Rattus norvegicus: one gene and its partner. The protein of the gene in region 1 purifies or fractionates together with the protein of each later gene. This does not show direct contact. Links are inferred from orthologs where the notes say so. Each region holds a gene or a part of one and is shown in the gene's direction. Other genes may lie near its edges. The genes, in order: Atf2 and Atf1.

Region 1 (3,819 bases):
CATAAACTCCAAATATATACTAGAATTTAGTAAGAAATATCATTATCCTGACAAATGAATTTACTAAAAAATAGTTTCTTAGAGTAGATTTCATTTCTCTTTTAAGTAAAAATGAAACATTATACATACACTGATGTACATGTAGACCATGAAAACTATTCTTTGCCAAACCTAATTAAAATATCAATCACTATTATTTACATTATCAGATACTCATGCTAAATGAATTAAATATATCTTTTTATTGTTCTTAAAACTTTTTAAAAGTTTTTTGAAATTATAATTTACATACGTATCTCTCCCCCTTTACTCCCTCCAAACTCAGAATATACTCCTTCCACTCTCCTTCAAATTCATGACCTTGTTTTTTGTTTCAACAAATTATTACTTCATACACACACACACACACACACACACACACACACACACACACATACTAAATATAACCTGTTGAGTCTATATAATGCTGTGTGCATGCTTTGAGACTGACTTTTTTGACACTAGACAACCAACTGGTATATTCTTCCCTGGGGGGCACCACCTGTCCCATTCCCAGTTTACCTCAGGTACCTGTAGTTCTCAGTGTGCGGTTGCAGCACTGTGGTCTCTCCAGTGTCCAGTTTGGCATGTTCATTGGTGTCATTCTTGTTCAGTCACATTTGGATAAAATCATGTTGTTGAGACTTTATGAATGAGAGAAGGGATTAGTAGGGTACAGGTGATCTGTCTGATCAGGGAAATAGAAAAGGGAGGGGCTCCTCAAGGAGAGGCAGAGAGGTTAATACAGAAGAAGGGGTGGAGACAAGTGGTCTGATAGGGGAAGTGGAAAGGTCAGTACAAAAAAGAGAGAAGTGGGGTTGGGGATTTAGCTCAGTGGTAGAGCGCTTGCCTGGCAAGCACAAGGCCCTGGGTTCGGTCCTCAGCTCCGAAAAAAAAACAAACAAACAAACAAACAAAAACAAAAAAAAGAGAGAAATGGGTAAAATAACATGGATGTCTGAAAAAGCCACAAGGAATCATACTATTATGATTCAAAATACAACTTAAAAACTATAATATTCCATGTATGAATATACATAAAACTTTTTTCATCTGAATGGAAAAAGCCACCAGGAGTCATACTACTATTTTCAAAGTATAATTTGAAAATTTGTAATAATCCATGTATGAATATACATACACTTTTAATGACCCTTTCTCATCTGGGCAGATGAAGATTTCTTCCAAGAACCAAAGACCACCTAACAAAGCCTCCAATACCAGACATGTGATACTCTTTTTAGTTGTTGTCCAAGAGACTCACAAAACATAGTCTATTACTGTTGCCCTTGATAACCCCCAGAGGTAGAAGGTAAGTTTATATTGCTAAGTTACCATGCACTCTGGAAGTAGGGCTTAGGGGCTAGAGAGATGGATGAGTGGTTAAGAACACTGACTACTCTTACAGAGTAGTTCAGTTCCTGAGTTCAATTCCCAGCAACCATATAGTGGCTCACAACCATCTGTAATGGGATCTGATGCCCTCTTCTGGTGTGTTGGAAGACAGCTACAGAGTACATATAAAGATAGATAGATAGATAGATAGATAGATAGATAGATAGATAGATAGATAGATAGATAGATAGATAGGAACAAAAAGAAGAAGAAGAAGTAGGTCCCAGAGATCCCTCAGCTTGGACTGACCAAATGTCCCTTCCAGGAAGACTTGCTTTCCTATCAGAAGTTGCCATGCATCTTTCCAAAGGAGGGAGGTAACCAACAATCTTACCCAGCTGTGATACCTATGAAGCATAGCATGACACAATAACCCTGATGATGCAGTAGTGGCATGCATACTTTGGTAGTAACCAACAGCTCTCTCATTGGACTTAAGACTTAATACCCACTCAGACCAAGAGGTGCTGGAAACCTAGCTTGGAGCTAGTGAAGTCATGGTTGTTGGAAAGGAATCTACAACCACCTTTTTTTTTTTTAATGTGGTTTGTTGTTGTGCCTGAATTGAATATACTATGTGAGAGTGTTAGATCACTCTGGACTTGGGGTTATAGACAGTTGTGAGCTGCTATGGGGTTGCTGAGAATAGAGCCCTTGTCCTCTGAAAGAACAGCCAGTGCTCTTAACTACCAAGCCATCTCTCCAGCCCTTATCATCTATTCAGAAGTACAGTAGTCTAAGGATACTTTAACCTTTTACTGTTTAGGGATATGCTATCATAGTTCTGTGCTTTACTACAGTGTAGTTAGTATTGTTGGGCTGTAGAAAACTATTTGCACACACTTGATTTCTAGATTGCTTGACGTTTGCTCATGTTTTTGTTTTTAGGAGAGCCTAAAGACTAATCTGCTAGAAATATTTCACATTCGGCATTCTGGTTTAAGAGATAGAGGTTAGGTTTGGTGATGCACACTGAAATAATCCCAGCACTTGGGCCTAGGGCAGGAGGATTGCTACAGTTTAGAGGCAACCCTGGGACACACTGATACCCTGTCTCAGAAAGTGAGATGTTAGTGGCGTATGTGCTTGCAATTTTATGTATACCAGTTTATTAAATATTCTCATTTATTAATATGGGGTTGATGGATGAAACCTAGATTAGTTATAGTTAATGTAAATCTAAATGAGAAAAAAATATAGTAAATTTTTTAATGTTAGTAATTTATTAAGTCCATATTATTTATTAACTCATGAGTGTTGGTGATCACTAATTTCTAATTAATTTCTAATTAGGTTTATTCAATTTGAAATTTTGGTGTGGAACTTTGTAAATTAATGCATCCTAAACAAAGGCTAAAATAGTCATTCTGTTGTAAGGAATAAAACAGGGCACCACTGGTATAACATTTAAATTTAGATGCATATATCACAGGCAACAAATGCATTTAACAATGCATGCTCTTTCATTGGTTCTGGTGCCTGGCATAGTGCTCAACAGTAGTACGTATAAAGATCCATAATTCCTGAATAAGTGTAATTTCTTTTTTCTAAAGTATAAACTTGCATAATTACATTTCCAGGATGAATTTTTTCATTTTTAAAAGGTGAATGGAATCAATGAAAATTCATTCTGATTGCTGATGTTTATAAGTTTTCAAATAATCAAAAGAACATATAATACATGTAGAGTGAAGCCCTTCAGTGAGTAATATAGTGCATATGCTTCCCATGGCAAACAGCCAGGCTACCCACTTATGGCGTTCGTGTGATTTTAGTTTTTTAAAAACTTATGTAAATGCTAAAACATAAACCATTGTATACTGATTAAATTTATTTAAACAGCATATGTCCCTTATTGTTCTGCCAAAGAGATCCAGTTCTCATACCTTACACCTTGCTTTCTTTAAATATGTTTCTGTCTAATGCTGGTAAGGCATATGAGTTGTTTCTTCTCCAGAGCGAAGTCACCCTGCTGAGAAATGAAGTGGCACAGCTGAAACAGCTTCTTCTGGCTCATAAAGATTGCCCTGTAACCGCCATGCAGAAGAAGTCTGGCTATCATAGTGAGTAATGTTCCATTACCTACAGCTGTAGGCTACATCAGTGACAGACGGCCAGAGTGAGGAGCAGAGCGACCAGAAAAACAGTGCAAGCTGCAGTTCTAGTACTTAAGATTAAGTATCAGAATTTCTGCAGGGTTATTATAGTCTGGGATAGGAAGAAAAGTTTTCCTACTTCTACCTTTTTCCCCTAGGTTAGCTAAACATTTTTAAGTACACTGTTTGCTGTCAGTGATTATTTACCATCACAGGATAACACTTTGTCTTGGATTAACAGAGCCAAACAGTTTTTCTTTTCCCGCCCCCATTTAGTACTAATGAGAAT
Region 2 (3,919 bases), on another chromosome or scaffold:
GCACACACCCAGCTTACGACTGAAAGAAATGAGGACACAACAGTTCTGAGGTTCGGTTGAGAAGGCTTTGAGTGCATGTGTGAGGCCAGAAGAATGGGAAGAGTTCAGAGCAGGGAGACAAAATAACAGACTGACCTGAGCCGTGACAGGGGGCAGAGCAAGCAGCGAGAGAGGAAGAGAGTAGGGAAGAGAAGAGGCAGAGAGCCAAAGAGAGCTGGTCAAACTGGCAGGTTTTCATAAGAATCAGAAGCTGGGGGAAGGGAATTGAAGCTCCTCGGCCTGGGATTTAGGGTAGGGGGTTGGTGTGCGCATGAGAAGAGCAGATTGTGAGCCTGGCTGTCAGTGTGTGCTTTGGCATGCTAATAGAGACCACAGTTGGCCATTTGTCCTGGGCTTCTTGGGGACCTGACAACCACCATTTCTAATTCCAACTCCAGGGAAACCTGTGCATGTACCATCCCCCCTCTATCTTTCAAATAATATATTTAAAAGCAAACTTTTTTTTTTTTTTTTTTTTTTTTTTTTGGGAGCTGGGGACCTAACCCAGGGCCTTGCGCTTGCTAGGCAAGCACTCTACCGCTGAGCTAAATCCCCAACCCCTAAAAAGCTAACTCTTGAAAGGAAGGATGAATGTATAGAAGGGTTTGGAGGGAGGAATATAAACTCAAAATAAATTTTTTAAAAGTACTATGGGTTACGGAATGACTGCTGCTGGACTTTGTTGTTCAGGAAAGGCTGTTATAGGCCACTTTCTATAATGTTGAGACATTGACTTAGTATTGTAATTTCCAGGTTTTTTTTAGAGATTTATTAATTTATTATATATAAATTTAACCCAATTGGGAACATCTTTTTAAAAGATTTATTTTATTTATAGATGATTGCAAGCCACCATGTGGTTGCTGTAATTTCCAGTTTTTTGAGAGGCTTTCTTTGTGTTGCTTTGCCTAGAACTTCCTATGAAGAGACAGTCCTGTGTCTGCCAACACAGAGTGCAAGGGTTAGAGGAACGGATGACCGTGCCTGGCAATTTCCATAAATTTGATACTGACTCGAGAGGTTGGGTAATTAACCTAATCGATCAAAAACCGAGTACTTCTAATTTATGGGTAGTCATCAGTTTTAGCTTTATTGGGCAAGATTTGCTGAATCACAGTGCATGGATTCTAGTAAGTCCTTCTAACGCTTCAGTTTAAAATCACATCATGTGTTCTAAAGGGTCAAACCCAAAGTTTTCACTCGCCCAGTTATTAGGAGGGGAGATGTCAAATACAACTTCGGAAAACTTTTGGTATGCACTTTGTAGAGAGTATGCTTGAAACAGAAACAAAAACGCTGCGATGCCCTAGCAGAACACTGCAAAGGACCAGATAAAGCCTTCAGGATGAAGGTCAACTTCCCCAGAAGGGCAAGCTAAGTCTTTTCCAAAGCATTAAGATGGCAGCATAAGGTTTTATAGATAAACAGAGCAGGTAGCGAGCCCCAGGAGTCCTCTCACGAGACTCTCGCAACTCCTGCAGCACCCCGCGCCCGCCCGCGCGCTCCGGGGCTCGCCAAGATGGCGGCGCCCACGTGAGCACGCGGTGACGCAGCACGCCGGCCCGCGCAGGCCCCGCCCTCCCCACGCTCCCGCGCACTCCTCGGCCCCCCTCCCCAGCCCCCGGCCTGTGCGGATCATGCCGCCAGCGACGCCCCTCGCGGCCGGGAAACGGTAGCCGGGACGGTTGGCTCTTAAGTTACGACGTTCTTTTTCCGCGCCCCGCCGACCGCAGGGACCGGCGCCACCCCGCCGCGGTGCGCGGCTGGCAAGTGAGGAGTGAGGTCGGCGCCGCCTGGGACGGGGGAGTGGAGCTTCCCGCCCCGGGCAGCGGCCAGGAGGCTTCGCGGGTGAGCGGGACGCGGCGGGGCGCGGGGCGGCCCGGGCGGGAACGTGACGCTGGTGGGGACGCAATGGCGGCCACGCGCCGGCCGGGGGTCGCGCGCGGCGCGGCGGTGGGGGAGGGGCGCCGGGGGGTGGGACCGGCCGCGCGCTTCCGGCCGCGCGCCTTCGTGCGCCCGGGCGTTGGGCTCCGCTCGCCCGGGGCGTCCTGTAAGCGGAGCCACGCGTCCCGCTGCGCTCCTTCGGCCCGCGCGGCATGGAGGCGGGAAGAGCCGGGCGGCGGCCTCCAGCAGGCTGCAGGCGCCGCGGCCTCGGGCTCCCGCCTCCATGACTGGGGAACCGAGGCAACACGCCCGGGTGGTGGGGCACGATGGTCCTCTCTCCTTCCGGGAGTCTCGCAGCTGGCCGCCTAGGTTGTGGTAGAAACTTAACTCAAAAGTCTCGGTAGCCGCCTTTTCCTTTTGAGAAGGGATTTATTCCTACGACTTCTAGACGTGGTCGCCGTGCCCAGTTTATGGTAGCCTTTTCAGTTTTGCCTACCCAACTGGCCTTTAATTTTTTTTTTTTATGTAGTGCAGGGTGGCCTCGAACACGGCTTATGTTAGTTTTTCTAGCGATTTATTTACCGCTGGGTATGGTAGCACATACCTTTAATACCAGCTCTTCGGGAGGCAGAAGCGGGTCGAGCTGTCTCTGAGATCTACAGAGCGAGTTACAAGCCTGCCAGTTCAACCGTGAGACCTCATTGTTTTTATTGACGGGTATGTGTGTCTGCTTAAGTTTATGTGCACCACGTGCCTGTAGGTGCCTGAAGACGCCAGAGGGTGTCTGATCTTCTGGAACTGGAGTTAGCGGTTGTTGGGAGTGCCAGGAACTGGCCCCTATGTTCTGTGGAAGAGCAGTGAGGGTTCCTAATCGCTGAGCCATTCTCTCCAGCCCAACCTTAGCTTTTGAGGTTTTTACTCGTTTGGGCCACTTACTCGGTGTAGCTCAGTTTTGCTTAGAACTTCCAGCAGTCCCGCCGTGAAATGCTTTGGGCCACAAGTCTTCAAGGGCCTTTTGAGGTCTGAGGCCATTTCAGTATAGAAGTAAAAATGGCCTCATCTGTGATAACAGTTTGTCTAGTATTTTTTTTTTTTTCGGAGCTGGGGACCGAACCCAGGGCCTTGCGCTTGCTAGGCAAGTGCTCTACCACTGAGCTAAATCCCCAACCCCAGTTTGTCTAGCATTTATGTTCACAAAATGCATTTATGCTAAAGATTTATGCCAATACATATTTTGAAATGGCAGTCATCTCCTCCCCCCCTTTACAGTATACAATTACAGTCTTATCTCCAGTAGAGTGTAGCTAAGCAGGAGAGTGTTTGCCTAGCACACCTCATACTCAGTACTTGGAAACAAGACAGGAAGCTCTGGGTGCCCTAAAGTTAAATGTGGCAGCTTCTAAATAGTTAGTTCTCCCTCATCATTTGCTTTGATAGGACTTGGGTGGTATGCATCACCAGTAGATGGTAGTCAAGTCAAACACAGAAGCTGGCATGGTCTCACTGAACTCCAGCTGTGACTCCTGTGCCTTAGATGGCTCCCCGTGAGTACAGCTGGGGCGGATCTCTGAGGTTACCTACCGCCTCAGCTGAAGTTATCAGTTTTAGTTGGACACGTAAGGAAGCACGTGGTGGTTTTAGTCTCAGTTTTAACTGTTTGTTAATTGGTACCCTGTAGGGAAGGGATGTGCTGATTGGCTTCCTGGACCTTACATTCTGGTGGGGAGACAGAAAAACAAGACATTACTGTAGTTAGGTGCCTTAAAAAGGGAAAATGTACGAGGGTATACGGCCAGTCTAGAGGCCATCAGGTAGGTTTACCTGGAAGAATAGATGAGAAGTGAGCCTCACAAGGAGGACGACTGTAGCATGAATGAGAGCTTCGTGTGAGAAGCAGCCAGGCACATTTGAGCATCTGAGATTACCTGTGACCACTAGAGTGTGTGTGTGTGTGGGGGGGTGGGTTCGGGTCCCCTGTCCCCAAACTTACCACCGC

The links.
Region 2: the proteins of Atf2 (region 1) and Atf1 purify together in Homo sapiens (affinity purification with mass spectrometry; 3 studies listed by BioGRID and IntAct, with this or other methods). This does not show direct contact. The link is inferred for Rattus norvegicus from reciprocal best matches to the Homo sapiens genes ATF2 and ATF1.

The regions. Positions count from the first base shown.
Region 1 is NC_086021.1:79,133,184-79,137,002, reverse strand, and holds part of Atf2 (cyclic AMP-dependent transcription factor ATF-2), read left to right. Parts: intron 1-3,391; coding exon 3,392-3,497; intron 3,498-3,819. UniProt on the Homo sapiens protein: Transcriptional activator which regulates the transcription of various genes, including those involved in anti-apoptosis, cell growth, and DNA damage response.
Region 2 is NC_086025.1:133,239,147-133,243,065, forward strand, and holds the start of Atf1 (cyclic AMP-dependent transcription factor ATF-1), read left to right. Parts: upstream 1-1,627; 5' UTR 1,628-1,887; intron 1,888-3,919.